Oryzias latipes: one gene and its partners. The protein of the gene in region 2 purifies or fractionates together with the protein of the main gene of each other region. This does not show direct contact. Links are inferred from orthologs where the notes say so. Each region holds a gene or a part of one and is shown on either strand. Other genes may lie near its edges.

The links.
Region 1: the proteins of usp25 (region 2) and btbd9 purify together in Homo sapiens (affinity purification with mass spectrometry; 3 studies listed by BioGRID and IntAct, counting the BioPlex papers as one, with this or other methods). This does not show direct contact. The link is inferred for Oryzias latipes from reciprocal best matches to the Homo sapiens genes USP25 and BTBD9.
Region 3: the proteins of usp25 (region 2) and kctd10 purify together in Homo sapiens (affinity purification with mass spectrometry; 4 studies listed by BioGRID and IntAct, counting the BioPlex papers as one, with this or other methods). This does not show direct contact. The link is inferred for Oryzias latipes from reciprocal best matches to the Homo sapiens genes USP25 and KCTD10.

What each region holds. Positions count from the first base shown.
Region 1 is NC_019882.2:593,970-604,253, reverse strand, and holds btbd9 (BTB/POZ domain-containing protein 9), read right to left. Parts: upstream 5,651-10,284; 5' UTR 5,413-5,650; intron 5,300-5,412; 5' UTR 5,297-5,299; coding exon 5,112-5,296; intron 4,483-5,111; coding exon 4,119-4,482; intron 3,696-4,118; coding exon 3,428-3,695; intron 3,354-3,427; coding exon 3,134-3,353; intron 3,068-3,133; coding exon 2,948-3,067; intron 2,879-2,947; coding exon 2,769-2,878; intron 2,571-2,768; coding exon 2,381-2,570; intron 2,307-2,380; coding exon 2,199-2,306; coding exon of another isoform or gene 2,135-2,198; exon of another isoform or gene 2,100-2,134; intron 2,008-2,099; coding exon 1,929-2,007; exon of another isoform or gene 1,917-1,928; intron 1,719-1,916; coding exon 1,527-1,718; 3' UTR 609-1,526; downstream 1-608. Other genes in the region: polypeptide N-acetylgalactosaminyltransferase 14, read left to right, coding at 10,241-10,284.
Region 2 is NC_019872.2:2,552,771-2,562,954, forward strand, and holds part of usp25 (ubiquitin carboxyl-terminal hydrolase 25), read right to left. Parts: intron 10,144-10,184; coding exon 10,048-10,143; intron 9,768-10,047; coding exon 9,603-9,767; intron 7,609-9,602; coding exon 7,370-7,608; intron 7,284-7,369; coding exon 7,213-7,283; intron 7,146-7,212; coding exon 6,917-7,145; intron 5,204-6,916; coding exon 4,937-5,203; intron 4,669-4,936; coding exon 4,529-4,668; intron 3,210-4,528; coding exon 3,033-3,209; intron 2,725-3,032; coding exon 2,629-2,724; intron 1,783-2,628; coding exon 1,604-1,782; intron 1-1,603. UniProt on the Homo sapiens protein: Deubiquitinating enzyme that hydrolyzes ubiquitin moieties conjugated to substrates and thus, functions in various biological processes including inflammation and immune response.
Region 3 is NC_019867.2:13,220,943-13,231,226, reverse strand, and holds kctd10 (BTB/POZ domain-containing adapter for CUL3-mediated RhoA degradation protein 3), read right to left. Parts: upstream 6,380-10,284; 5' UTR 6,265-6,379; coding exon 6,262-6,264; intron 5,321-6,261; coding exon 5,107-5,320; intron 5,024-5,106; coding exon 4,854-5,023; intron 3,901-4,853; coding exon 3,814-3,900; intron 3,708-3,813; coding exon 3,655-3,707; intron 3,565-3,654; coding exon 3,369-3,564; intron 3,281-3,368; coding exon 3,062-3,280; 3' UTR 2,094-3,061; downstream 1-2,093. Other genes in the region: myo1h (unconventional myosin-Ih), read left to right, coding at 70-232, 308-391, 490-583, 658-713, 784-919, 989-1,059, 1,230-1,327, 1,401-1,500 and 1 more; ube3b (ubiquitin-protein ligase E3B), read left to right, coding at 7,333-7,493, 7,583-7,700, 8,157-8,216, 8,314-8,418, 8,510-8,606, 8,697-8,782, 8,905-8,987, 9,099-9,204 and 4 more. UniProt on the Homo sapiens protein: Substrate-specific adapter of a BCR (BTB-CUL3-RBX1) E3 ubiquitin-protein ligase complex. The BCR(BACURD3) E3 ubiquitin ligase complex mediates the ubiquitination of target proteins, leading to their degradation by the proteasome.

The DNA of each region.
Region 1 (10,284 bases), on a different chromosome or scaffold from region 2:
TCCATACGGGAATCAAGGCCGTCAAATCTGGTTAGAATAGCCTGCATGGCGTGAGTGAGGCTAGCATCACCAGCGCCATCTTGTTTTTTCGTGGCTCCTCGTTTCTTCGTTCTTTTTGGGTTTGGGCTGTTTAAGCAGATCGGGTCATTCACATCCTCAGTAACCGTTTGCTCCATTTGCACTGTTTCTTCTTCCTCACAGCTGTTTTCAAGAGCCGGGAGGTCATAATCATGGTCGCTAACGTTAGCTTGTCTTGGGTTAGCCATTCTTCATGCAGTAGAGAAAAAACGTGAAAAATATATCTGGAGTAATCCGTTTTTTTTTTCTTTCCTAATATTGATTTTCTGACACTTCTGGGGAAGGTTGGTCTCACCCAAATTCCTAATTGGACACAAAAATTGGTTTCTCTTTCAGACCCTGCCTCAAACACCACCACTCACTCCGCCATCTTCCGGAAACCACATCACGCGTTCCTTATGAACCTGAAGATGAAGTTTCTCACTCCACTCTCTCAAAACTGACATCTGTGAAACCATAACTATGACTATGAGACAGCGGGTTTTGGGGCAGTAACCATGGAAACGGCTTCAGAGACAAGAAACAGACGATGGGCTGCAGAGTGGCAACGTTTAATGACACAGCCTCACAGAGTGACGTCATCATGACGTCACAAGGAGGAACCGTCAGGAGACAACCTCAGATGAATGCAGCGCCTCAGAAACGTCACGTACGAAAGAGGAAATTACAGAACAAGAAATAAAAAAAACATCAGTTTTTAAAACATCTGCCAAAGGAACCAAACCGGTTCCCAGCTTCTACATCACAGTCTGACCGGAACTAAACCCGGTTTATTCATTCAACCATTTCATTTAAATACACGTCTAAACCAAAAAAAACGCCACTCCAAGTGTTTCAGGTTTTAGAATACATGGACTCAAAGTGCAAACACACGCAGGACGCTGATGCACAGCAGCTTCATTCAAAAACACAAACAGGAAAACTTTGAACGCGGTCAGAAGTGTCACTTCCTGCTGGTTCCACAGTGTGAAGCTGCAGCTTTCTCTCTGTCCAGAGGGGGCGGGCCGTCCTTCAGAACGGTCCCGGACCACAACCTTCTGCTCTCATCACTCACACAACTATCGGCAAAGGTTTGTGTTTTCTTAGCAAAGCAGTGTTTTATTGTGAAAGTCTGGGATTTCCTGGATGCGTTTTGCACTCGGGTATTTCCTACAAAGTACTGAGAAAACGGCTTTGCTGACTGGACGATATGAAATATTCTTTTCAGGTCATTGTTTAGAAAAACATGTCTGATGCCATGTGACCCCTCCCCCCGCTGGTCTTTCCTGCGGCTGCACGCTTCACCTCCATGAACCGTCCACACTGACCAGGGAAGACGAGAGCTGCGCTCCACGCTGCTGTGGCGGAGCGTCCGGCAGCATCGTAACAGTGCAATCTGAGCGGTGGAGTCTGTGCAAAAAGCACGGCAGGTGCTGCAACACCTGTCTGCGGAAGGGGAGGGGCTTCTTTCAATGGAGAGGTGCAGAGGAGAAGGAGGAGGAGGGCTGGCCGGACAGCAGACTGTGGGAGCGCGAGGCCCGCTGGGACCGCTGCTGCTGCGGGGCGGCCCCCCCAGAATCCGACGGGTCCAAACCCGGAGAACCTTCAGTGACCTCGGTGTCCAGCTGGGCCGGACACTCAAAGTGAACGCAGTGGAACACCTTCAGGAAACGCACACAGGGCATCAACACACGTGCACACGTACGTGCACCCATCGGGCATGTCAAACACCAAAGGGCGACCCCCCCACACACACCCACACACACTCCGCCTGTTCCACCGCTTGTTGCCTCCATTCTTTTCCTGATCTACCCCCTCTCCCTCTTCTGCCCTTGCTCGCCCCTGTGGGGCAGGTGCAGGTGAGACGTTACCTCGTTGGCGGTGTTGTGAGTCCCGACGATGCGGATGAAGGAGGCGGGCTGCTTATCAAAGGTCAGCGTCTGCCAGGATCTGAGACAGAGGAGGAACCACATGATCTTCATCAGACACGCAGAAACCTTTGATGCTTTCCTCACGTCTTTGATCTGCTTCACTTTAACGACCTTTCTTTGATGTTTTTACACAAATCAATTATTTATTAAGAGGTGAAAATCCATCCCGAGTCTGGAATCAAAGCGACGAAGATGAAGGCGACTCCGTACCGACACGCCACCTTGGTCCGGTCCACCACCCGGACCCAGTGCTGCTGGTCGGTGGACACCTCGATGTAGTAGCTGTAGGAGCGCTCGTCGCAGTCCCACAGCAGCAGCCTGAAGCAGAGCGGGGGAGGGTTCTGTCCGTCAGAGCGTTTCAGCAGACCGGCGGGCGTCAGGATCACATCTACCTCAGAGAGCCCACGGCGTACGGCTGCGCCAGCTGGATGACGATGGCTCCGGAGCCCAGCTGGTGGCAGGTGTACCCCGAGTCCCAGTCATAGTTGCGAGTGTCACCGTTGAGCAAGGCATTTCTGCTGCGGCTCACGCCCTCCACGACGCTGGCACAGCAGGCGGTGGTGGCGACGTTCTCCGCAGGAACTGCAGGTGAAAGCAGCAGATGAAGGGATGGACTCCATCAGCGAACATTTGATCCGTGACATGACTCAATCCCCCTTCAACTCCAGAAAAATACCGTTTTCATGTAAACATTCAGGATTCTGCTCCTCCGTTCTACACAGTAAATCAAACCGGACCATAACCAAAGCGGTTCTCGGAATCGGAACCAGTGAAACTTACCCAGAAGGCCGTTCTCCAGCGTGAAGGAGCGGCTGGTGAACATGCACTCAAAGGCCACCAGGTGGAAGACCTTGTTGACCGTGTTGTGGGTCCCGACGATGCGGACGTACCTGACGGAGAAAAGCTTTTAGTTTCTTCCTGCAGAACCGGGCCGCTCGTTCCTTCAGAGTCGGCTTCACCTGCAGACTCGTGGCGTGAAGTAAAGGTTCTGCCACGAGCGGCACAGGTGCTTGGAGTGGTCCACCACCCGCACCCAGTCCAGCTCGTCCATGGACACCTCCACGTAGTAGGAGTACGAGCTGCGGACGCAGCAGGCGTTAAAAGCAGAACAGCGGAGAACGTCTCCACTGACGGCAGCTCCTTACCGGCTGTCCCGGTCCCAAAGCAGGAGGCGGATGTGGTTGATGATGGACGGCTGACCCAGCTTGACCTCGATGCCGGCCCGGCCGTCCTCTTCGATGGGATGTCTGGAAAAGCCGTGGTCCAGGTCGTAGTTCTGAGTGTCTCCGTCCAGCAGCGCCGACTTCAGCTCGCCTTTGACCACCTGGGCTCCGTGCTTCATGGTGGCGAGGTTCTCTTCCGGAACTGAAATGATTCCAAGATTCCTGCTGTGAGTTTGAGGGGCAGGACCAAAGGCGGCGACGGAGGCGGGGACTCACTCAGCATCCCTCTGTAGTTCAGGTCCATATTGCGGCTCTCGGAGCGGGTCTTGATGGCGTCCAGCAGGTCATCCGGACTCACGAGGCCAGAAGGTCGCACCACGTTCAGCATCTCCGTCAGCGTCATGAGCGGCAGGCGCACCACTGACATCACTTCCTGGGTGTGGTCTCCATCCTGGTGGTGGCGGCACCAGCGGCACAACGCCTGGAAGATGTCCTTCTCCGTGGCAGCGAAGGAGTCCCGCTGGACCACGGTGAGCAGAGCGACCTGCACACAGCCCCCCCATTAAGAGGAAGTGAGGACACACAACCACCTGCTCCAGAGTACCATAGGCTGACAGCAGGAAGGGGCGGGGCTAGGACATGAAAGGCCTCTAGAGAACTCGTTCTTTGAAGAACCACAATAGAAACAAATATTCCATGTCTCTGTGGGTTCAACAAATATTTACACATTTGAGACCAAAGGAGAAGAAACGTCTCTAGGATTGAAGGAAGGAATATGAAGCCAGCTTTAGGAAGAATTTTTACAGGAATATACAAGACAGATGAAAACATTTGTATCTAGAAGTTCTTCTGTTTGAATGTTTGATCCGGTCTCTGATGAGCTGCAGAACCGGTCCAGGTGATACTGATACTTTTCCTCACACTTCAGCTGCATTCGTTAGATTAATATGTATGAACAGGAGTTTACCTTGGAGAGCGTCAGGAACCCGTCTGAGTTCAGCACCTCAGGGGCGTGTCTGTCCATGTAAGCGCAGCAGGCTGCACTGAGCGCGCTCAGACAGTACAGGCAGGCCACGTCGAACACCAGGCAGACGTTGTTGATGTGCAGGATGGTCCGCAGGAAGTCGGAGGTGGAGTCTTCCAGAGGTTGGAGGCCGTACCGGTGAGCCAGACCCAGGAAGTCCAGCAGAACCTCTTCCCGGGCAGAGCTGAGGCTGGCCCGGCCCGTGTACAGGTAGTTCAGCAGCATGGAGAAGGCTTCAGCTCGGGTCTCCTCCAAACGCACCTCGGCCTGGGGCTGGGACTCCTTCATCCCACCGAACAGCAGGGCCCTGAAGGGGCCACGCCAACATTAATGTGAAGGACACTTGAACGCCCCGGAGCTCAGAGCCATTAGATCCATCAGACCCAACGGATCCAACCGATCCATCAGGTCTAACCAGTCTATCGGATCTAACGGATCCATGAGACCCAACAGGTCAATCTGAGCTAACAAATCCATCAGATCCATGATGCAAACAGAACAGAAAGGAACAGTCAGAGTCAAATGACCTTAAAACAGCCTCTTTACCCCCCCGGGGGCAAAGACCATGACAGGAAGACACGTGTCAAACTGATCTTTCTGATCACTTCATTGAATAAACGTTTGATTCTGTCAAAATACTGATTCTTATTTCCTTGATTTAAAGCTGTCCTCCAGAATACCAGGCAATAACCTGTATCTAGAACCACATAATACACAGTGGTGGACCATAAGTGTTGTTAGGAACGCTCCACCTGTCTTCTCCCCAGAACACAGAACCCCATGAATAAATATGATGGAGAACCGTATGGATCCTGAAGAACCTAAAGTCCTGAAACCCGCAGGAACGTTATGGGTGAACTCTAGAACGATGACGTGAGTAAACGTCCCCGTGCGCTCTGCGGGTTCTCCGTCAGACTAGAACCGCCGCTTGTTTACCTGAAGTAGTGGCAGCGCGCCGCCAGGATGACCCGGTGCGCCGGGAAGCGCTTCCCCTCCACGATGAAGGTGACGTCACTGTACTCCTCCCCGAGCACCAGCGCGCCCAGCTGCTCCGACAGCAGGTGGATGTGGTCGATCTCCGACACGGAGGCCAGCGGCCGCAGGGGGTGGCTGTTGCTCATGGTCTGCCGGACACCAGACGTTAGCTCCCGCTAGGCTAACCCACAGCCACCGTCAGGAAGCCACGGAGTGATGCTTCACCTCACGCTCACCGCCGTCATTCGCCCTCCAAACTTACCCAGCAGCCACCGCGCACCTCCCTTACGAACGAAACTTCTTCCAAAAGCGCCACACAGATCAGATTTTAAAGAAATAAAAAGAAAAACAGCTCAAAAGAGCCGATCCCTCCTACATCGGAGCAGCGGAAACGGATGCTGGCCGACGGACATCAACTTCCGGTTCTTTGACGTAATTCACGGTTCTTTATCGCCCCCTACCGGAAAAGAGGATAAACAAAGATTTCTTCATCGCAACGTATCACGAACGGCCAGCAGAGGGCGCTGTTGTTACTGAAAACGTCCTTGATTTTCTGAAACAATCTGAATATTTTTTTGAACTTTATTGTTCAAAACAAATAGAACAAATATGCATGACAAGATCAATAGTCATAACAATGCCAGGGGATGCTACATGTATTACAAAAGAAATTTTACAAAAACACATTACTATGCATTGAAAATGTATAGTAATGGTATAGTATGTATGGTATAAATAAATGTATCAGATCTACCTCAGAGAGTACGAGTAAAGTATAAATGTATAGTAATATAGTAAATGAAAACTTACCTAATAAATATAATTAGATTAATTGCTACTTTTATGTTTGATTTTATGTTCTTTTCATGTAGGCCAAATATGATATATTCAAATTTCATCTGAAATTGTGAGTCTAATTTGTGATTTATAAAACGTGCAAAATAGGTGCCTGATTGTTTTCTGGTTGTTCTTTTACAAAAGGTACAGTTGGAGTCGATTATCTTATTATATTGTAGCGACCTGGGGGTTAGCCCCGCCTTTAGCCCCTAAGACTCATGGGAAGTGGGGAGTTTTGGGGGGGAAACCTTGAGTGAGAGGGCTGGAAGCAGAAGTGACCTCCATGTTGTTTGGGCTGTTTAAGTGTGGTTGAATGAACTGACCTGATCTAGAAAAGGAATCTTTGGTTCTTTTCCTGTTTATTAGTCTTTGAGACTGTCCGGCGTCTGCGGTGTATGAGGCACAGACAGCTCTCCAATGAAGCCTCTTCTTTAGCAGCTTGACCTTGCTTCCCCGCTAAAGTGACGTCCCGGTTAGGTCGTTCCAATATCTTAGCATGTATTGATTAGTGGGATAGATTCTATGTAGATGTTTGTAGGAGACATCTTTCATCTTGTTATTAATTAGTCATTTCTGATGCAGGCTCCAAAAGTTTTCCAGGGCAAGTCAGAAATAGATTTCTCTAGTAGAAGACAGCAGAGGAACCGAAATGACATTTTGCTGAAACAGGTATGATCTTGTTATTCTTTAGTTGAAACACGATTTTCCAACATTAGTGTCACTTGGAGATAATCTAGCCACAGGGGTTGCAAGCCAGTTACTTCTGTGCCGGTCCCAAGCCCGGATAAATAGATAGGGTTGCGTCAGGAAGGGCATCCGGCGTAAAAATTGCCAAAATAACCATGCGAATCATCCACAAAACTTTAGACATGCCGGATCGGTCGAGCCCCGGGTTAACAACGACCGCCACCGATGCTGTTAACCTACAGGGTGTCGGTGGAAATTTGACTACTGTTGGTGGAAGAAAGAGGGGAGGCAGAAGGGTCCGTGGCCAGAGAGAGAAGGGAAAAGGCAGGAACATAGGTTTGAGAATAGGGACTCTTAACGTTGGCACAATGACAGGGAAAGGCAGAGAGCTGGCAGACATGATGGAGAGAAGGAAGGTAGATGTACTGTGTGTGCAGGAGACAAGGTGGAAGGGCAGCAAGGCACGTAGTATTGGAGGAGGATACAAACTGTTCTATCATGGTGTTGATAGGAAGAGAAACGGGGTAGGTGTGATTCTGAAGGGGGAGTTTGTAAACAGTGTTCTAGAGGTGAAAAGAGTCTCAGACAGGATGATGAGCCTAAAGTTAGAAATTGAAGGGGTGATGGTGAATGTAGTCAGTGGGTATGCGCCACAGGTTGGCTGTGAGTTAGAAGTGAAGGAGAGATTCTGGAGTGAGTTGGATGAGGTCATAGAGAGTATCCCCAGAGGAGAGAGAGTTGTTATTGGAGCAGACTTTAATGGGCATGTTGGTGAGGGCAACAGAGGTGATGAGGAGGTGATGGGCAGGTTTGGTGTGAAGGAAAGGAATCTGGAGGGACAGATGGTGGTGGACTTTGCGAAGAGGATGGAAATGGCTGTAGTCAACACTTACTTCCAGAAGAGAGAGGAACATAGAGTGACATACAGAAGTGGAGGTAGGAGTACTCAGGTGGACTACATCCTATGTAGACGAGGTCATTTGAGAGAGGTTAATGACTGCAAAGTGGTGGTAGGAGAGAGTGTAGCCAGACAGCACCGCATGGTGGTGTGTAAGATGACTCTGGAGGTCAGGAAGAAGAAGAGAGGGTAAACAGAAAAGAAGACCAAGTGGTGGAAGCTACAGAATGAAGAAACTTGTGAGGAATTTAGGCAGAAGTTGAAGCAGGTCCTGGGTGGTCAGGATGAGCTTCCAGAGGACTGGGAAACTACAGCAGAGATTATCAGGGAAACAGGTAGGAAGGTGCTAGGTGTGTCATCTGGAAAGAGGAAAGACGGTAAAGAGACTTGGTGGTGGAATGAGGAAGTACAGGAATGCGTCCAGAGGAAGAGGTTGGCTAAAAGGAAGTGGGATGTAGAAAGGACTGAGGAAGGTAGACAGGAGTACAAGGAAGCGCAGCGTAGAGTGAAGAGAGAGGTGGCAAAGGCCAAACAGAAAGCTTACGATGAACTATATGACAGGTTAGACACAAAGGAAGGAGAGAAGGACTTGTACAGGCTAGCCAGACAGAGAGACAGAGATGGGAAGGACGTGCAACAGATAAGGGTGATTAAGGACAGAGATGGAAAGGTGCTAACAACCCAGGAGAGTGTACAGAAAAGATGGAAGGAGTATTTTGAGGAGCTGATGAACGAGGAAAATGACAGGGAAAGAAGGGAGGAAGATGTGGTTGTTGTGGAGCAGGAAGTAGCAGAGATTGGAAAGGATGAGGTTAGGAAGGCTCTGAAAAGGATGAAGAGCGGAAAGGCCGTTGGTCCTGATGACCTACCTGTGGAGGTATGGAAGTGCTTAGGAGAGACAGCAGTGGAATTTCTAACAAGGTTGTTCAATAGGATTCTAGAGAGTGAGAAGATGCCTGAGGAATGGAGGAGAAGCATTCTGGTTCCGATCTTTAAGAACAAGGGTGACACGCAGAACTGCAGCAACTATAGAGGAATAAAGTTGATGAGCCACACAATGAAGCTGTGGGAAAGAGTAGTGGAAGCCAGGCTTAGGAAGAAGGTGGAGATCTGTGAGCAGCAGTATGGTTTCATGCCCCGTAAGAGCACCACTGATGCCATTTTTGCTTTGAGAATGTTGTTGGAAAAGTACAGAGAAGGTCAGAAGGAGCTGCATTGTGTGTTGGTAGATTTAGAGAAGGGACGGCTCATGTTGCCTGTGTTAGCGACAAAGTCAGAGAAGCCAGACTGAGATGGTTTGGAAATGTTCAGAGGAGGGATAGTGGATATATTGGTAGAAGGATGTTGGAGATGGAGCTGCCTGGCAGGAGGGCAAGAGGACGGCCAAAGAGGAGATATATGGATGTCCTAACAGAGGACATGAAGTTGGCTAATGTTAGGGTAGAAGATGTTCATGATAGAGTGAGGTGGAAAAGGATGATTCGCTGTGGCGACCCCTGATGGGAAAAGCCCAAAGAGAAAGAAGAAGGAGTGTCACTTAGAGATAAGAAGGAGATATTTTCATCAAGTACAGTATCTTTAAAGAGTTCACAGATTTCAGTAGTAAGTAACTGCATCAAAAACAATAGCATACTCTTTTGGAGGAACAGCAAGGTCACATTTAAGGTTAAATTCTTCATGTCTGAGGAAACAATCTGAATATCTCAACCCAAAAAGCGATAGAAAAATAAATAAAATAAAGCAAAGCGATAGAAACAATTGAGAACATTTTTTATTCATGTGACACATCCAGACAGACGGACGTTTTCTATTCGGACTGATGTCGTTTGTGTTCGTCATCATTCGGGTTTATTTTGGGACGTCAACCGAACTCTGACCCAGAATCCGCAAGTTCTCTGCACGAACGCTAGATGGCGCTCCAGCCAAACAGACAAAAGTTTTTCTGGGTTCGCTTCAGTTCTGCAGGTTCTGTTCGGTGGGAAGTTCAGTGAAACGGACTTTTTATTCACATTTTTTTCACTATGATCGTTTTTGTTGTTTCATTCTCGTTTTTTAAAACGTTTTTATTTTATTTCTGTAACTTTCTCTGGTCAAACATTCAGAACCAAACCGAACAGAAACAGAACCGGCCGCCAATAGAAACATGACCCACAAACGTTACTGTCAGGGTCTCTGGGCTTGTCGGTCTTCCAGAACCTTCCGGAGAACCACAGCTTTCATGCGTGAACAGAGTTCGGTTCTGGAGAAGCCTCTCCGGGTCAGTACTCACCGGACTCGGCAGGTGGCGCTCCTCCACCTTTCCTCGGGCTCCACTGCCGCGCGTACCAACACGCACGAGCACGCGCAGGTGTCCTCTTGAGACTGTGGGTCCTGTCAGACCCTCGCGACTCACTTCCAAACCGAACCGAGCGGGACTTCCTGTTTGTCAGACTAGAACCGAGCCTCCCCGCGCGGGTCCTGATGGGAAACTACCGGGAATGGTCACCACACGCGCCCAAACGCCTGGCACGCACGCGGACGTGCTGTCAGGCGTGTCTTTGAGACGCTCGCGCTCAGAGTTGACAGAGAGCTCGCGCCGATTCAGCTCTCTGAGCTCCGCGAGCTCACTATGGAGCTGTGACGGCGCGCGGGCCGAAGCCACCGGCTCTTCGCGGGCGGAGCGGGAACGATGCGCGCGTGGCGGAGGCTCGCGGCGCTCGCGGCAGTGCTGGT
Region 2 (10,184 bases):
ACCTATGGCTCGCGAGCCATATATGGCTCTTTTGATGGTCACATGTGGCTCGCAGACACATTTTTATTTTTTTATTTTTCATTAGACCAGTCCTTCTCGGGCGCGATGCGATGCCAGAGGCGCACAGTAGTAGCGGTGCTTGGAGAGAGAAATCTGCGCCAGCGCTATCAGTTACTATTATCTATTATTTCACAGAGTTTGTACCACCCGGAAACCTGTGAATTGCCGTGCCTAAAACTGCGCGCCCCCGTCTCTGAGAAAGAGCGCGCAGTAGCGGGGACGGGATGTGAGAGGGAGAAAGCAGAGGGTGGGGGTGGAGTTGTGGGCTCGGTCAGTAAGGTGAATCGCGCAGGGATTGTAAAAACGTAAAACCTGCTGCCCGTCACTCACTGCAGTGTGTGAGTGTGTGTTTGACTCCCCGTCTGCATGTGAGCAGTCTGTCTCACATTTACAGAACATTCAGACCTACGATCACGTTTAAAGTCTCAACGCCTGCATGAAGCAGAAACTCACCACGGATCAACCAGACTAGACCATCAGCAAAACTACCACGAGAAATACTGATCATTTATTAGCAACAGAATAACAACGTTATTAAAAATAATCCACAGACTTATTGTCCTTTAAAAGTGTTGAAATTATATCAAATGCACACATTCATTTGTATATTTAGCTTTAAACATATTGTCGCGGACTGAGTTTAACTTGGCTGTTGGGCCGCGTTAAAAGTTCTGGAGTTCCTTGAACGCATCAAGCAGAGATCTGATTGGCTCTCAGTTCTGTCGCTCAGCCTGTTGTTAGTTAATTTGGACCAATGGGGTTCAGCTATGGGCCGAATAAGGGAAATGGGAGGGCTGGAGCGGGAGCAGGGGAATATAAAGTTGGGAGAAGCGCTCTCGTCTCGGCGGGAGAGATTCAGGAGCTGCTGAATTAATTTACGGCATTTGTTACAGCCTGCATTAACCAGAATAAAGAACCTTAAAAGAGGTTAAGTCTCAGTGTGGGAAAAGGACACTACATTATTGTATGGCTCTTTCGAAATTACATTTAAAAATATGTGGCGTTTATGGCTCTCTTGGCCAAAAAGGTTCCCGACCCCTGTTATAGACTGTCAGAAGCTGCTGCTGTGGACACTCTGCTTCCCTCTGCTGGTCATTTGTGAGGACAACCACTGTTTGACACTAATGTGTGAAACAGACATTTCTGCCGTCTGAAGCTCATAGGTTTTAAAGATCAACTCATTAAATAAGAAGAACTTTGCTGGAGTCCAAGACTTGTTTTCAAAACAGCAGTTTGTGATGCAAACATGTTTAAACAGGCGCTTCAGTGAAGTCGGTGTTCTTCATAAATGTACCATTGACTGTAAAATAGAACTGGACTGAGTGACCCCTCCCCCTGGTGTTCAGAAAAGGAAGTACCAGAGGGTCCCCAAAAAGCTGAAATGCTGTAGACTTCCACAGAGAAGTAAACAGCAGTTATTCAGTCAGTCATTCTATTGGTCAGAATAAACTATCTTGATCTGATACCTTTTTTGATGAAGGGAGAAGCAGAGGGATTTTATGAGATGTTCTAGTTCTTGGCGTGGGTGAAACTTCTGACTCACCTCTCATCAAAGGCCAAGTTTCTGTCAGCAAACTGAGTGAGCAGAGTCCTCTCCAGGATTTTCTTTGGGGCCTGGTTCTGGATGAAGTAGACGATAATGTGCTGTAGTCGGTAGTCGTTCTCAGGAGTCGGGCCTTCTTGGGCAAACCTCACAAGTCGCGCGTATTCCAACTTTATGGCCTGACAGAGACAGAGAAGAGGAAGGGGTTAAGGCTCTGAGGTGGGGCGGAGTCTCAAACCTCTGGAAGGACTAACGCTGGATTCACGCTGATCTGTCTGCGGCGTCTCGCTCTTGCATTACGTTGGGAGTCCGTCTCACCACCGTCAGTTACTTTACTTCATTGCGTCTCCAGCCCCCCCCCCGGTTTCCAGAGGAGGGGTGGGTTTAGCCCCCATACCCTCTCCTCACTGAGTCCTTGTAAAAAGTCTGTTTTTTGTCATGAACGACCTATATTAAACTTTCAGCGTCCATGGCAAAAAGGATGCTGGTGTCATTTATGGTGTCACCGTTGGGACGCCACCTTAACTCTAAAATAAAATGGTATATATTTTTGAAGTACAACAAATGTTTTTCTGGCTTTTTAACCACAAAATTGACGCGTTAATGGACTGGAAATGGCTGCTATGGGAAGCTTTCATTGCAGAAGGATGAGCGTCAGACGCAAACATGACGGAGTATGTTTGTAATGTAAACCTTCTGATTGATTCATGAACGTTTCACTTTATGGAGACACACTGCAGTGGGACCAGTGTAGATCAGGCTCACAGTCTGGACTTCTGCAGCTCATCCGAGTCGACACTTTTGTGTGACTTTCGGTCATTTCTGGTGGAATGTGAAAGTTCAGTCCCACCCGAAGTGTAACTGCAGACGGGTGGATCAAGCTAGATAGCAAAAGGAGTTGGGTGTTTTTCTGAGCGATGGCAGAGCTTCACTCAGCGTCTACGTCACCGAGGAACAGCGTCAGACATGAGCAAACACAGCAGAATGACAGTGGAATGGGGGGGCAGAAAGGAGAGAGGGAGTACCTTGAAGAAGGCTGCCTCAGGACCGCTCTTTTCATAAATGCTGCTGGATTTGCCAATGGCCATAATGATGCCCTGCATGTTGGGGGTCATCATCGTCTAACCAGGAAGAAGGAGCCGCGTTAAACACAACAACAGGTCGTCACGGCGATCTGTGCTGTTAGAGCATGCAGACACCAGCCGTCCATGCACTGTTAGAGCGGCAGGGGGGGTCTGTACACAGCAATGACCCCAATGAAGCTTCAGAGCCCCAACACAACAGGTCTGTCAAAAAGCCGAGCGCCCCCAGATGCAGAGCAACTTCAGAAAACGCAGGGGTGGGGGAGTGGGGGTGTTAGTGTCTGTGAATGACATCCTCAGGCTGAGGTCAGCACACAGCAGCAGATCCACTCCCCTGTGGTTCACACCTGGTCATCGTACCCCCCCTCCTCTGACTCAATGACAAACGTCCCCACGTTGGGAATGGCCACCTCTACTGTGCGCTGGCCTAGGGACTCCTCCTCTGCAAGCTGCTGCTCACAGGGAGGGCTGGGGGGGGCGCTCATCTGGGTCTCTGGCTGAAGAAAAGAGGGATGGGGGGGCGACTGTGGAAAAAGGGCGACAGAGGAAACAGCAGCGTGACTGGAAGGATTAGAACTAGAGCCAACAGGGAGGGGCTGAAGGGCATCTCCATGTCCTGCTTCTGTTGCTTTCAGGGTCGCGTCAGACCGACCACCCCCCCCAAGGCCCCCAGGTCTACCTTCTCACAGGATTCCAGCTTTTTTGACAACGCTTTGGATTTTCATCAGCTGAAATTTATGCTTCAAAGTAAAAGAAAGACTGGAAACCGTCTGTGTGTCCAGAGGTCACAGATCTACTTTCTGATGTTTCAGTTTGCTGATATTTTTTCATCACTTTAACATCAGAGCTTTAGCTCCAGTGTTTACATTCTACATATGACTCACGATGTTGATGTGAACGATAGGTTATATGTCAGAGCATTGTTTTTTTTTAAGTGTTGCTGGCAGCATCTCCGAGGATTAAGGGTTAATGGCCGACCAAGTGTGCATTATCACTTTTTCACGCACGCCGTGGAAGCTTGAAGCGCCCTCCGGTTGCTTCCTCGAAGTGCGTTAAAAAGTGATAATGCACACTTTGAAGGCCATTAACCCGCTTATACCATGGTCACTTACAAAAGCAATAAATATAAACCAGTTTTTAGTCCTTAATTCTTTTTTTTCCCCCGATTTGGATCATTTTTCTCACAAAAAGCTGACTATTTGTTACGTGGTGCGGCATCCACATCGCGCCGCACCACCGCTGCAGTCAAGATTCGGCGATATAAAGCGATATATATGTGCTGATCTCTCCGATGGGTTGAATAAAGCATCAGTTCAGAGAGAAAGTTCACCTCTTACCGCTTGTTTTTGTCCAAATGATGAAGCTAAAGGTTGTTTTAAAGAAGCCGGCGCAGTAATACAAAACATTTAAGCTAGGTGGCCGGAACTTTTTCTTTCACCGTGCGGTTATCACTGTGGTATATCACTTTTTAACGTACACCCAGCAGCCAATCAGAACAGAGTATTCACCCAGACCATGGTATAAATCATAATAACTTTGGCTGCAGAACGATTACTCTTTTTACACACTAGACGTTGGAGCTCCTGCAGCTCAGTAGGTCTTTCTGCACACAGTCTGTGCAGAAACGCCTGCTCTGCTTGGAACAGACTGTGGATCAGGAAAGTTGCTGCAGGAAAACTTTCTTTGCTTTTTCTATTTTGACCTGTTTAGTCAGGACTACTGTGTGGTGTTCATGTTCATATAAAGCTGAAAGCTGCTCATAAACAGTAGGACAGTGATCATGGGGGTAAAGTGAGTCATTTCCAGCTGATGGGTGGCGGTGCTGTGTCTGCATGGTACATACAGCATTTAACAGGGCTTCTGGCCCCCTCTCCCCCTGCTCAGCAGCAGCCCTGGAGATGGCCCTCTCAGTGTCCTCCTGCAGGTGCTTGGAGTCATTGGTTGGAGACGGTTGCTCCATGTACTCTGGGTCCTGCTGGGGGGCTGCAGGGGAGCAAAGCCTCCATCAGACAAGTGTGTCCTAAAACTGATGTTATCCAGCATCCCAAAGCATCACAGAGCATTTTTTATGCTTTAACCATCACTTTTTCAAGACAGACAGTGGAAACAGATCATACATTAACAGTCTCCTTCTCAGAATGTGATGGGGCATCAACCCTCCAGCTATAAGACTTCTAAAAATACAGAGAGCAGAGCTGAAATGCTGATTCATGCTCAGTTTGGTTTTTCTGCTGAGTCTTCTGTCACTAACCTGCATTGTCGGGGGGGCTGGACTCGATGCTCATGGGCTGTGGGGATGGAGAAGAGGTGGAGGTGCTGGATGATGCAGCAGCTGCAGCAGCTGCTGCTGCGGCGGCAAGCGCCAGCTTCTCCTGCTGGGCCTTGTGAGCCTGCAGGGCATCCCACTCCTCAATCTCCTTGTCAAACAGCTCGTTGTCCTCCTTCACGTACTGCTTCAGGTCTGGAAGCAGTTTGTCCATGCCGCTCAGGATCTGACCGGTTTCTTTATCAAACTCCTCTGCAAGAGAAGGACAAAGGAGGGAGAAGTGAGGGACCGCCCTGTTCAGCCGTCCGACTATATCCAATATGGAAAAATGGAACCAAAAAGCATCCATCAGTCACTGATGCTTCAACTGTGAAAGACAGTTTGTAAAAAAATAAATAAATAAAGAGAATCCGGCAAAACACAATGTAGGATTTTAAGAAAAGAAGCGATTTTGGTTCATAGATCATAGTGAGAGCATTAAGAATGAAGTCAAGAAAACGATTTTCCTCCGCCTTTCAGCCTCCACCGTTAGGGGCCGCCACAGTAAGTCAGCTTAACGGTTGGGCAGAGACTTAAAACTGGTACCTATGTATTGCTTTTGTAAGTAAACGTGGTATAAGCGGGTTAATGACCTTCGAAGTGTGCATTATCACTTTTTAACGCACTTTGCTGAAGCAACCGTCCGACGCGAAGGCTTTCACGGCGTGCGTTAAAAAGTGATAATGCACACTTCGTCGGCCATTAACCCTTACATAATGGACACCTAAAAAAGAAGTTCCGGTCACATAGCTCAACTGTTCTGTATCGCTGCTCTGGCTTCTTTAAAACAACCTTTAGCTTCATCATCTGGAAAAAAAGAAGCGTTAAGAGGTGATCCAAGATCCGTGCTGGCCCAGCCGGCAAAGCGGAGCGGTGCCACGTTACCGTGACAACGTAACGCACCATGAAACAAATAGATTGAGCGATCCAAACTGAGAAAAATGACAAGAATAAAGTCCTAAAAAATGATTAAATATTGTTTTTTTTGTCAGTGAGCATGGTATGAGCAGGTTAATGGCCTTTGAAGTGTGCATTATCCCTCAAAAAGACGGTTCAGGCTTCTTCTGATAAAACACAACTAGTCTGTCATTAACCCTTACATGAAAACTGAGGTTTGTCATTGCATTTTGGTTATACAGGGTACAGGGTGATATTTTAAAAACTAGAAGGAGGTGCATTTCCAGAAGAAAATGCAGGGTTGAATGCTATATTGGTGAATGAAAATTAAACTTAAAGGGTAATATGTGGCAGAAAAAAAAAACAAGAAAGATGGAGATGCTCAAAGTTTACCATTAATAGAGGGAAAACAGCACAATAATAAAAAAGATATGTTTGTGGAAAAATGCAAGCTCCAGATATCAAATTGGTGAAGTCGTGCACCAAAGTGCATGTCTCATGCCATAACACCACCAACCAGGAATATTGAAAAGGACATATAATCCACATAATCCTGGAATATCTTGAAAAGTTCAAGGATTTGAAGGACCAAAACTCATAGCTGCAAAAAGCTGAAAGAGCTGAACATTTGAATAGTTGAATGGTTAAAATAGCTGAAAATTTGTAGAAGGACTTAAACGGCAAAAAATGGCAAAATATACTAAAAGAAAGAAAAACAAACAATGGGTTGAAGGATTTATAGCATTCAACCAATAAGATGCAAAAAAAAAGGTTTCGGGCTCATAAATGAAACCCCCCCCCTCACCAAAAAAAAGATAAATGTCCCTGGAAACCAAGAGGGGATCAGATTCTGGTTGTGCTGTACTGAACAGAACTCCTGTGTTAACAGAGGACTTGAGAACAGGAACTGAAGGCCAGAAAAGGAAAAGCCTCCTTTAACGACACCTCAAACTAAACTCAACCTTCTTTAACAGCTGAAGTCTGAGGCTCTGACACACAGAGCGCCCCCGCCCCCCACTGGATCTGTACCTTCAGTGAGGAAGGGTTTCTTGTCATTGATGTACATCAGACAATAGGCGCTGGCGTTGCGGTAGCCCCCAAACGAGTCCCTGACCAACTCCTCCCACGACGACTTGGTGACTGAAATGTCATTGTACTTCATCCAGCAGTGCTGGTGGGGGTCGTAGATGTAAGCCCAGTAGTGGCCCGCATTGGCCTGGCCCTCGTGGACCAGAACCGCATGAAGTCGGTATGGAACCTGACAAAGCAGCGGAACATTAAAGAAGTCCTGCAGCGGTTTGAGTGTTTGGATGTCAGCCGCTCACCTGCATCATGGATTTGTCCGAGTACATCAGCTCAATGGTTCTGTGGATTCTGCTGATGCTGCCCTGCAGATCTGGGGGGGGGGGGGGGGGGGGGGGGGCACAGTGTCAAGAACAACAAGACCAGACTTCAGGCTCCATCTTGTCCTGTGGGACCCACCTCTGGTGTCGTTTTCCACCTCGCTCCTCCAGCGGTGCAGACACCCCTCCAGCACCCGCAGCTCCTCCTCTGTGATGTGGCGGGGGGCGGGGTGCATGGGCAGGTCTGGAGGTAGTCGGGACTGGGTGAAAGGCTTATGAACGGAGACCCTCTGCTGCTGAGCCGGGCCAGGGGCAGCAGCAGGGGCCGCAGCCGGGCCGGAGCTGTCCTGGGGGGGAGCAGAGTCCTGCTCAGCTGTGCTGTTGGGGGGGAAACGGTGACGATGGTGAAAGGACTGGCAGAAAATACATTTACAACACTGTGAGGTTGCGGTTTTCAGACAAAGATGGCGGCATGGCGGTGGCGTGCAGAAATCTGCAGGATTTCAGTGAAGTACGCGGTTCAGAATCTGTTGCTGCAGCGCCCGCACTAAAGGCCCGTTCACACCGGGACGAATTTCGCCCGCCATTTTCGCCGACGTTTAACGCCTCGTGACTAGACAAAGGGCACCAATGTGAGTGTGCACACCGACGCGAAAAAACGCCACGCGTCAAAGCGTCACTTTTTAAAAAACGCCTCGGGTTCGTTTTTTTGGTTTGACGCGTCGCCTCTAAATCTACTCGACCAATGAGAATGGCGCTTTTGCACACGTGTCTGGAGCTTCTGAAGTTACAGTAAAACACAACTTGGGGGCGCTCAAACACAAAACTGCCTTTCTGAGCACACATACCAGCGAAGAAGATAGACGCCAAGTAGCGTCTACACAGCCGCGAAGAAATAATGACGGACATTCTATAATATCCCCGAACCAAGCACCAGTTGGAGCTACTGGTGCTTGAAATATTCATGTTTTCTTTGAATTATTCTGACAAGCGCGTAAATACTTGCTTTCTTTTTCTGAGGGAAAAGCGACTTTAAGAAGCCTAAAGTTGCGCAGCGCCACCTTGTGTACAGGAGTATTTCTGTTTTACATTAAGCCCCATCTAATGTCAGGGAATGAAATTGCATGTTCGCTCGGCTCATCGTCAGCGAAAATCGCCTGGGTGTGAACACAAAAAACGTGGCGAAAAACGCTGGCGAATATTCGTCCCGGTGTGTACGGGCCTTTACCATGGTGACTCCTGCTGTTATAAACTCGTCTTTTACAGTACAGAGAGCAGACTCACAACAAAACCACTAAACATTGGATCTCCTCTTTCTGTTGTGTCATTGGTTCATAGATCATAGAAATATTTCCTGTAAACTGGCTTCAATCCATGAATTAGTTTATATATTTAGCAAACATAAATCCACAGTTTTGACTAATTTTACAAACTCACAATAATTAAATTACAAGTATATGCAATTCATTGTTGACGTCAAGTCTGCAAAACATCAGTTTTACTATTCATTATAAAAATAGTGATTTCAAACTGATGTAATACAAACTAATCACTGTAAAGTATATCAATAAACGACAAAAATATAAGAAAAAATACATATCCAAAAATCTTGTCGACTCCCTCACATGTATTTTTATATGTTTTATAGCTGTTTTCATTTTTTTATGGGTTGACAATTTTTAACCGTCTATCCTGCAGTTTCCATACCTGAACCCCTCTCAGGGAGATACAGTGAAATTTAGAATCTTTAACAGTTTAACATATTTGATCCTCTAAAACTGGATTTATTATCTCTTAAATGGAAAAGTCTTTGGTCATTTTGAACATGGTTTAATATTTGTTAAATTAATCAGGTCTCCAAATTCTAATCATTTAATTTGTTGATGAAAGAACAAAACACCGTGTCCAGAATGACTGATTTGAAAAATGTCTAACTTTGTGAAGAACACATATTGATTTAGATATTTTACAGTTTATGTCATTTACATGTTTCCTCTGACTCCTGTTTTCATTACATTTTATTTACGACACTTTCAATTTCTTGATCATTAATCATAATTGTCTTTTTAGCGTCAATTGTTCTATTTTTAAATACTATAAACTTAGTTTTATTTAAATTTAATATGAACTTATTCAGACCAGATCAACTTTTAAATGAGTAGGTTCTTGTTCTGCTGCTCCTCCAAAATGTTCTCTACAACAAACAAGATTGTTTTCGACAGTAAGGAAACAAACAAACTTTAAGGTACAGAATAAATAATGGCCCCAGAACCGAGCCTTGAGGAACTCCACACTGTATTGGCATTTTTTGTTTGTGTGTTCAGTGTGTGTTTGTGCACATATCTGTTTAGAATGCATCGATGTGAACTTGCCTTGGTGGCGCCAACTGTTGTCCTGTTGCACCACCGGGGGGCGCTGACGTGTCAATGTCTTCCACTGGGGAGGTGCACACAGGCTTACTGGAGGCAAACTCCATGGCATACTGGAGGACATCTGCCAGAGGAAACCTCTTGGGGCCTGAACCGTAACTAAGATACCTGAAAGAATGGAGGGAGAAGAAGGAGAGAAGAAGAATCAAATAAAGGCCAGAGTGCAGCACCATCTTTGAAGTGAACGTCTGTGCACCTCCACAGCGTCAGTCGCCTCCAACCTGCTGATCTATGTTGGAGCGTTCTAGACTTAGACCTGAGCTCATGAGCATGTCGTGTGACGGGTGTTTTTTCTGTTTCGACGGTGCCGTGTGCAGACGCTGCAGCGTCTGCATCCTCACTCCTCACAGCACAAAGCCACAGACGGACATAAAGGACGGCAGTGTACCTCTCCAGTCGCTGTTGGAGCAGAGTCAGGTGCTCTTTCAGTCGCCGGATCTCCTCCCTCTTGATCCTGGTGATCTCCCTGTTTCTATCCATGTATCTGTGCACAGCCCCAGCAGAGGATTAGGGGGGGGGGGGGGG
Region 3 (10,284 bases), on a different chromosome or scaffold from region 2:
CAGATGAACTAAACCATTTAAAACAATGTCAGAGTTGAAGCTATAACTGTTTTTTCTGCCTGGTTTCAGGTTTATTAATGGTTATTTGAACAGAGGGGAGGCGAAAACCACAGATAACTCTGAATACTTGGCCTTTGTGAGACAAAGTTACTTGAACAGACTCAGAGGCAATCTACCAAAGACAGTTTTGGATAAAACCACCTGGCTGACTCCACCCTCCGTGGTCAAAGAGGTAGTGGAGCATTTTGTGTTTTAAACAAGCTGGGTTCTTTTTTCCTGACTCTGTGCATCCTTGTTGTTTTTGAAGACCTCAGAGATTTTGCGTAAGCTGCACTACCGTCTGATGGTGAGGAAATATGTGAGAGGACTCACACCTCAGAGGAAGGCACAAGTAAGATAATTAAAATGATCATTTTAGGGTAAATCCTCTATAAATTCCTATTTATCTTGACAGATTTTTTTAAATATTTTACTTTTATTTTCTAACAGCTTCAACTGAAACTTGTCACCAGCACCATTTTTAAAGGCAACAAGGACAGCTATCCGCAAAGTGTCCCTCAGCCTTTTTTGGAGACAAGAATAAGTAAGTCTCCAAAACTGAACCGCAATACCATTTTATTCTTTAGGAGTCATAAATATGAAACATGTTTTCTGCAGGTGACCAAGAAATCAACCCAAAAATTCTGCAGACAATCCGCAACGAGCGGATTAAGGTAAACAAGTGATCAACTGGTTTGTAGACATTATGCAGGAATTCCCATGTTGTGTTGTCTCTTTCTGCAGTACAGTGTTCCAGTCATTAAATATGACAGAAATGGCTTCAAACCAAGACCCAGGCAGCTCATCCTCACTCAGACTGCTGCCTATCTGATTGAGGAATCCAAGGTCAAACAGAGATTGGTGTATGCGTCTCTTAAAGGTCAGACCTATAACATTTTTTATCGTGTTTTCTTCGAGTGGTAATACAGTTACAGGCATCTCTTTGCAGGGATTTCAGTCAGTAACTTGACAGATGGAATTATTGTTCTGCATATCAGCAGTGAAGACCCAAAACAAAAGGTATGTCAATATAAAATATTTGGATTTATAACTGCCATTTGCCAATGTAACACAAATTAAATTATTTTTTTAGTCTAAAAAGAAAAGACTGACTTGGAGAAACCAATAACAATGGATTTTAGAAATAAAATAGTCTGTGTGGCTTTTCTGTTTCACCCTGGTTGTTTAAGGGGGATCTGGTTATCCAGTGTGACCATCTGTATGAGTTCTTGACCAAACTCTGCGTCATTGCTAACAAACAGAGCGCAGTCCGAATCGTACAGGGAAGGTGAGTCTGCTGAGATTTAAAAACATGTTTTTAATTTCATGTTTGCACTAATTTCTTTTATTATTACTGCCAGCATAAAGATTGAAATCCAGGCAGGAAAGGAAAGTGCAGTGGACTTTAGCACTGGGCAGGAAGCCATGGTATACAAAGCCAAAAATGGACATCTTATGGTGGTGAGTGAAGTCAGTGCAGTGAAATAACAGATGCACTTCTTTAGTTTAATTGAAATCTTATCTGCAAATCCAATAGACGGCTTCTGTTTGTCACCACAGGTTGCCACTCGAGCAAGGGTGAGGTAGGTGTGTGCATCTGAAGAAGAAACTCAAGGAGCCCCTGCATATTTAATCAGGAGACCCCTTGGCAGATGATCAACACCTGACCACAGATACCTGGAGGATCCAATTTGAGTAATTTGTTTAAAAAGAGCTCATTTGTCAGCAATAAATTTGATTGAATACCTTTTTCCATGTGTGGTAACACATTACATGAAACAATTATATGCAAGTGCTTGGAACTAGAATAAGCGCAAGTGTCCGCTCTGTGATGCCCGTAAATTGATGATTAATCCAGAAAGTAACGCGCTTTGAGATTGGCTTCCAGGTGGTACTAAACCCTCAGCTGGTTTAAATGAGTATGAAACACTGATACTTGCCAAAAACACGAGACAAAACCAACAACAAGTTTTAAAAATGTTTCTTTCCCCAAATCCAACTGTAATCATCTGAAATGTTCATTTATAGAATAAACATTACAATTTAAAACAAAATTCTTTGTACAAATTTATTCAATATAAGGTATAAATATAAAACACACACTTGAGTTCATTTTTGTACAACCTACTTGTGAGAACTGCAATGAGACATTTTAACTTCAACCTTTAGTTTGCAAACAATACATTTTTTGATGAATGCAATGATGAAAGCCGGGTCTAATTTCCCTCCCTGTTAAAAGCTTGTAAACAGGGCTCCTTTCCTGCCAGGAAGATCTCCAGTGACACTCACTCATTACATCATTCAACCCAGAGCACTCAACACACAAGAGTCAGTGTTCAGGTTTGCTTTGTAAAAATATGACTTGTTTTGTGGACTGAAAATACAAATAACCGAAGCTATACAGTGAAACGATGCATCAATTGATATCTTAGTAATATATAATTTTTAATTTTAGGAAAGCTTACTATCTGGCAGGCTACAAGGTGGGCCTTGCTTGTAACTTGTGAAACAGTGCCCCCGTGTGGCCTCCAAATGAACAACAGCAGCTTCTACAGACTTTCTAGCAAAACCCAAAAGAACCAACTAGAAAAAAAAAACTGAACCATTTTCATTTCTTCTTCATCTACTTCATTTAGATATTGTCATATAAATATACCCCCCCTTTAAAAAATATACAAAATAAATCAAAAACTAATAATACCATTAAATAAAAAAAAAAGACTTATACTGTCAATTCTCGCTCACTCACACAGGCTGGTGAAATTGTTTGCAGACATGCACACCTCTGAGCTCCTGCTGTGGCTAACATACGAAATGCTACAGCTTAAGAAGAAAAGACAAAGAAACAAAACACAAAATCACTCCATCACTAAACAGATCAAATTCACTCTCATTTCCTTCTCGAAAAGGCTGATAAAAGAAAGGAAGTCAGAAAGTGAAGCCCTCTGTGTTATAAGGCACAAGCACGGCACACAGACCATCCGAGCTCAGAAATGCGGCTTGGCGAGTCAGAAGAGGAAAGTCACTGATGGTGGTGAGTGCGGTCATCTGGACGTTTGATATGAATTCTACGAACTCGTTCTATTCGTTCCCGCTCTTCTTCCTCGTCCAGATGGTTAGATCGGCCGGCGGCGCCCCCTGTGGCCTCCAGCAGAGCATTGTCTGGACCTCGTCCGTCGTGAGACTCATACAAAAGGATATTGAGAGTCTCCTCATAGATTCGTGCTTCAGGAAACTCAACCTTTGTATAACAAGAGATGCAATGTTATTAAACTCAACGGAATTTCTTGCATAAAGAGCATAAAAAAGTGAGGGGCCAGTGTTTTTACCTTTGTCTGTTTCTTTTCTGTGGCGTACACAATGGAAGTGCAACACACTTCAGCGATCTTCCGACCCTGGCCGTAAAACGACCAGCAACAGATCTCATCTCCAATCACATCTTTGATGAAAAGTACTCGGCCATTGAACCGCAGAGACAGCTTGTCAAACAGCTCAATATTCTTTAGCATGTTGTCATCCGAATTGCTGGAGAAGAGCATCAAGCATGATGTCAGAAGGCGACACACTTTATTAATGAAATGGAAGAAAATGTGTTAGAAGAAGACGGGGACTCACCTGGTGTATGAATATTTGTTGTTGCTTCTATTATATAGCAGCTTTACAGTTGGCTGTAAAAAAAATGAATAAAAACAAAGTTTGTTCACTAAATAGAACATCTAAATAACAACTAAAGACAATTGCAGTCTGCAAATGATACAAGAAAATAGAACTCACCTTATTTGAAGTTGCAATAAGTCTCTGCTCTTCTTTAGACGATGTCATCAAAGGCACTTTACATAGAGGTTCATATGTTTCTTTGTTCTGGAAGAAAGACATTTTCATTAAAAAAAGGAGAAAAACTAAATTTAAAAAAACCCTGTCATAAGCCAAGAAGCTGTAAATTAACTAAAATAAATCTATGTTGTAATTCAGATTAACCATCGTGCTTAAAAAATTTGTGGAAAGAAGTGAAAAAATACAAACAGGTTATTTGCAACCTATTTTCAAATGGCGTCTACTTATACAGAGCTTCTCTGTCTGTATTAAGGCCCAATGCATTTCATGCTACGTTTACGCCGGGGTCACAGATGCGTGTTCAAGTGACCACTTTCAATGAACAGTCTGTGTAAACGCGTATATACGCCCTTCAGGACCCTGCATACACGGGTCCCTGTGCAAGTTTTTACATTCATCTTCGGATTCTACATACAAGACCAGTGAGGCACATTGAAAGTTAAACCAGTTGAACCTTGACCAAACTGGGAATAGGATTTGGTCGTGACGTCTGGGTAGCGTTCCTTTCAACTCACGGAAGTACTACCCATTTGAAAGTTGATCATGACGGAGATATTAATAACTGTATTTTCTGCCCAGCTGCAATTATGACACCAAATCTTTCATATATCAGCATAGAGCTGTGAAAGAAAATGCTGGAAGCAAAATTCGTGAGATTTGGACCATTTTGCACCAAGCCTCTTCTAGCTGTAAGTACATGGGGTGGTTTGGGGTAATGACAGTCCACTGTGAACACCATTGCAAAAAGCGCAAGAATTCCAATTTTGTGCATTCTTGAATGTACATCACAGTCTCAAGTCCCATTTACACACTGATGGTGATAGAGCTGCCATGCAAGACGTTAAGCAGACCACAAGAAGCAATGTGGGGTTCAGTGTCCTGCCCAAGGGGACATCCAATACATGGGGAGCCACAGTGGGAACTGAAACTGCAAATTTCCGGTCCTGATACTTGTTAAAAGACAAGTGTTGGAATGGTACCTGCAAGGCAGCTGTGCATTCATCAGAAAGTCCTTGAACAAGGTAGTACTTGGCCTCAGCAAGCAGTTCCTCTGTTTCTCGACGGCTGTCTGGCAGTGGGACAGCCCCGTCTCGTAAATAGTTAAGGATTGTTCCAAAGTGTTTCCCACAGCGATCAATTAGGATCCAACCTATCATAGAAAAACGTTTAGAGTGTAACACAGCAAAAAAAGCAGCGGTGGCAACAACAAATCAAGTTTTATTTAAAGCTCACCTTCACTATCTGTGAGCACTTCCATTCTGCCACTGAACATGGCTTTAAGCATTGTGTCCTGCTTTGTTAGTGTCTGCATTGTAGTGTAGTACAGCGCTCCGCCGACATTTAACTTCACATACTTTGAGCTGGGGCTGGATCCTTTGAAGGACGCTGTTCGTGTTGTAGCTGCCGGCACTGCCGAGCTCACCACACTCTCTCCTGACATCTCTTCCTGGAAGAGAACAAGTCAAAACAGTGATTACAGTTTGGAGGACAAAAGCTAGAAGACAATCAAGTAACTGATAACCTCCTCTGCCTTCCCTGAAAAGCTTTTCAATTTAGAGGAATATCAATGTTTTTGCAGCTTAATAGGTATCAGACTAGAATATAACCTTTATAGTATTGAGAAATTGAAAATGCCTTTGTGTCATAGTATTTAAAAACCAAACTATGCATATAGGATGAAGAAAAAAATGTGGAAATATATATTTTATATTTCCAAATATATATATATAGAACGAATAAGAAAGTGAATAAAAAAGGCTGACAAAAATGCAGATTCAACATATGTATAATACCTTTTTGGCTACTCTTGACAAAATTAGTCTATTATTTATTATTAAGTTGTGATCATACAATTTATCACCATCATCATCTTCTGATATTCTTAAAGAAAACTCTAATGACTAACTATTTAAATTATGTTATAAACAATTACGAGTTTGTCCGCCAGATAGGTTTTAAATTACTCATTTAATTTATCTACAGACAGAGATATTGATACAGAACAAATATGAATCGACACACCTTATGAATAGTGTCTGATGTTCTCTGTAACATTACTGACACTTAATGATAAAAGAACAATTTTTAAATAGCAATAGTTACATTACCGATTGCATTCCAAAAGTGAAAAGTATTCACTGTGGCATGCCTGAGACAACTGTAGATCATTTTCTTATATTTTATTTTTCGCTTTTTCTTGCTTTTAAATCTTTTACACTTAGTTATCAAAGAGCAGCCTACACGGTCATTAGCGAGCTTGTTAGCATCAAAGACAACCAAAAGTTTAGTTTAAAGTGGAAACTAGCACAGAGTAAAAACAAGTATTTCATACATAAATATATAACGGTGTTAATATTTGGTATTTATGAAAAACAAAAAGAAGTTTACCATAGAACCCACAGCAAGCGTCCGAAATGTAAGCTGCTAACCTTTGTCAGCTAACACCCACTTCCTTCCGGTGCTCCGCTGCGCAGTTAGAAAAAAATGACGTAAGCAGCACAGTTTAAAGAAACAGAAACTTTAATGAGGGGTAAAACTGTTATACGTGTTTTACCAGCCTAATGAAAAATAATTAATTTTACACTTTAATCATTAACAATAATGTACGTGTAAATTATAAATGAAAGTAAAAAAACATATCAAGGCTACAAACGCCTTTTCTGGATGAAGCTTGATGGAGTAACAATGAAAAGAGTCCCCTGGTTCAGATCCGACAGCATAAAATTATTTTTAAAAAGATACTACTAATAAAATCAAAACAATAATAACAAATAAATAAGTATGTGTATCCCAAAACACATTTGCTATTATCTAACTTCACACAGTAGATTCTATTTCGGAATAAAAAAAAACAACATAAAAAACTACCCGGAATCAAAAAAATGTTGAACGAGGGATTTATGGCTGCAGTCTATGCAGGGATCTTTTCTCTTTGTTTACATTTCAGAACAGTGCATTCCATACGTTAAAGAGACTGTCATCGGTACAGTGTCAGGTATTATTCCTAAGTAAATATTATACTTAAAGGTTTTAGCGAAAAAACTATTGCGGTGTTACAATCAAGACGATAACTTGCGAACTAGCCTGTAGCTAATTGTTATTACTCTGTTTTTCCTGTGCCGATCCCTGCTTTAGAAGATGGCAAGTTAGTATTCGTGTTTTGTTAGACTTTATTTTCAACATGGATATCAAGGGAAGTCAAGTGATTGAGAGGATATAGCGACAGATGAGGCTAAAAGCCAAGCAGGATCACCTCACCTTCACAATCACACAGGTAATTGCTATGTTAAGCTTTTATTCATGCCACTTGAACAAGCAAACTTCTTTTTTTGTGTAATTTATCTCTTAAAGACTGCCTTTACACCTTCATCAATGTGCTATTACCACTGTCTTGGTGACACACGGTTGCCTTTTAGGTATATCAGCTAGTCTGCCCTTTCTTTTTTCCTAGACTGAACAATGTTTGGTGTGCCTCAAAGCTCCAAGTCTGAGTTCCTGGACAAAGCCAGGCAGGCCAGAGAAGAAAGGAAAGGGCAAAAGGAGAAAGAAAAAGCAGCAACCCAAATTCAAGCTCTAATAAGAAGATTCTTGTGTCGCTGCAGGCTGCAGAAGGAATTAAGGTGCAGCTTTCAGTTTTCACTGTTCTATCCATGTTCTATACTGTTCTATACACATCATAGTTTTACTTTGTAATCTTATGTGTTCACAGGAAAGAAGTCGATGATTATTTCCAAACTTCTGAAACGGGAGCAACAAAAAGAAATGCACTTTCAATTTTTAAAATTGCTCGGAAATTACTTTTTATCTTTTGCCAGGAAGACAAGATGGTAACTTGCCTAAATATTGTCTCACAAAAACATTTGCAATAAATCAAAGAATTGTATCAATATATTAGGAACAAATAGCAAACTAAATCAGAATTTATCTTCATGTCAGTAGTGTCATCTTTGACTACCTGTTGGATTTCTTAGCTTCGCTTGGTACTGTTCAATTGAGGATTTAAAAAAAGGATTTTACTGTCAATAAAACAGTTTTATTGCTATTATAAGTTTCATTAAGGCAGAAAAATGTTTCAAATTTTTTCAAATTTTCCATGGTTTTTAATAGACTATAAAATATGTTTGCCAATACTTTTAGTAGTATGATCCAAATCCTTAATATTGTGATCATATAATGATTAGTTGCTGCCTTTCCGTAAGCATTTCAATCATTTTTGAGTGTATTTTATTGATTTTATTTTGTCCAGTTTTATGAATCAAACAGTTTTCATCCATTTGTTTCAGAGATTTGAAAAGCTCTGTCGTGCTATCTTAGCCAGCATGGAGGTGGAAAATGAACCTAAAGTGAGTCTGCTTTCATTAATTCTTGAACATTTTAAAAATATATATATTTTCCTTGAAATTTTTCTGGAGGGACTGATTTCTCATATTTGGCCCTTAGGTCTGGTATGTTTCTCTGGCTCTATCCAAGGATCTCACCATTCCTTGGCTCAAACAAATCAAAGATGTGTTGTGGGTTTGCTGTCAGCTTCTGAAAAAACTCAAGGTTAGTCTAGCCTAAAATCTATAAAAGAAGTTTTAATATTAATATTTTCTATTTTAATGGTACTCAAACCTTTTTTTTTGGCGATTCTTAGCCAGACATACTTCAAGACAACAAGTTGATTACACTTTACCTCACAATGCTGGTGACCTTTACTGACACAACAACATGGCGGATAGTCAGAGGGAAGGGTGAGTTATGAATCTAAATATGTCTGTGGTTATTGCAGGTCACACACTCTTACTTCCCACAGATATTTAATTTCCCTCTAATTACTGCAGGGGAAGCCCTCAAACCGGCTTTGACGAGGATTTGTGAAAACATCATGGGCCATCTCAATCAAAAGGGTTTCTATTCCGTACTACAGGTTCAACATCATAGTTTTACTGAGCGATTACAATTTTGCTGAATAGTCTTGCTTTACAGCATCAAATGTTTGTAATTTTATTTAAAAAACAAACATCTTTTGTGTCAATCTTTTAAATGTAGATCTTGCTGACTAATGGCCTGGCTCGTTCGAAACCGTCTCTTTCCAAAGGCACCCTGACAGCTATTTTCAGCTTGTCACTGAGGTCAATTGTCCTTTTCGCTTACGTTTTGTTTGACCCACTTTTCTGTGTTATTTTTTTGTTTTGGATAAATGGTTTGTGGCTTAATTGTGAACTAAATCCAATATTTTGCAGGCCAGTCATTGCTGCCCACTTCTCAGACAACCTGCTGCGATCATTCCTCATTCACATCATGTCAGTTCCTGCCATTGTATCGCACCTCAATGTGTTAACCCCAGAGGTAACCTTGTGCTGTTTCTTCTTGATGTACATTGGAACTTTGAGCAATTATGTGAACAATGTGATTTTATTTTGTCCTTTGGCTCAACAGTGCATGACATCCATGCAGACGCATGACATGCTTCGGAAGTTTATTTTATTTCTCAGTCGGGAAGAACAGTGTTTGGACATCTGTGTGTGTCTTGAGGGCAGCCACACTCTCTGCCTACTTGGTATATAAATATAATAAAAGTGGATTAACAGTTTTAGCCCTGTCCTGCAGCCTGTCAACAGTTGCTTTTGTTTCTCATATTCTACAGGCAATCTGATCTACCTGGGTTACCTTAACGAGAAGGTCTTAGAGGAGGAGGCTAACCATTTTGTGAAGGACCTGACCGACATGCTGTCCTACTGCCAGAGATATGTATCGCAAAAGAAGTCCAATTTAACCCACTGGCATCCTGTCTTGGGCTGGTTTTCTCAAACAGTTGATTATGGGTTAGTGAGAATAAAAACCATTTATCAAGCTTACTGTTATAGAAAAAACAAAAAAAAAACAAGTTCCTTATTTTTCTTCATTGTTATCATCGATATTTAATGTCCAGTCATATAATAAGAAGCTGTGAAGAGGCAAGTGACCCCATGTTGAAAAAGAATTACATATGTTTTTTATAAAACCTGGTGTTTGTGGACCGAATGATAATACCTGTACCTGATAATGCCAACGTTTATGCAAAATGCATCATCTTAAAAGTGTCTTCTTTTGTCTTTAGACTGAATGAGTCGATGCCACTGGTCACTAAACAGCTGCAGCATCTTTGGGGTGTGTCAGTAATTCGGACACTTTTCAGTGATGTCCTGTCTAAAAAGCTGGAGAGTCAGGAGCCCACTCCCCCACCCCCACAGCCAAGCACTTCACAGAACAACCTACCAGTCAAAAGTACAAAAGACACTCAATACTCAAACACAATTATGATGTATTTCACTAAACATTGGTGAATAAGGCACGTGACTGTGTTAACAGGCCTCTTCAAAAGAGCATTTCAGAAGTCTGCATCTGTCCGGAATATTCTGAAACCCGTTGGGGGGAAGCGAGTTGACT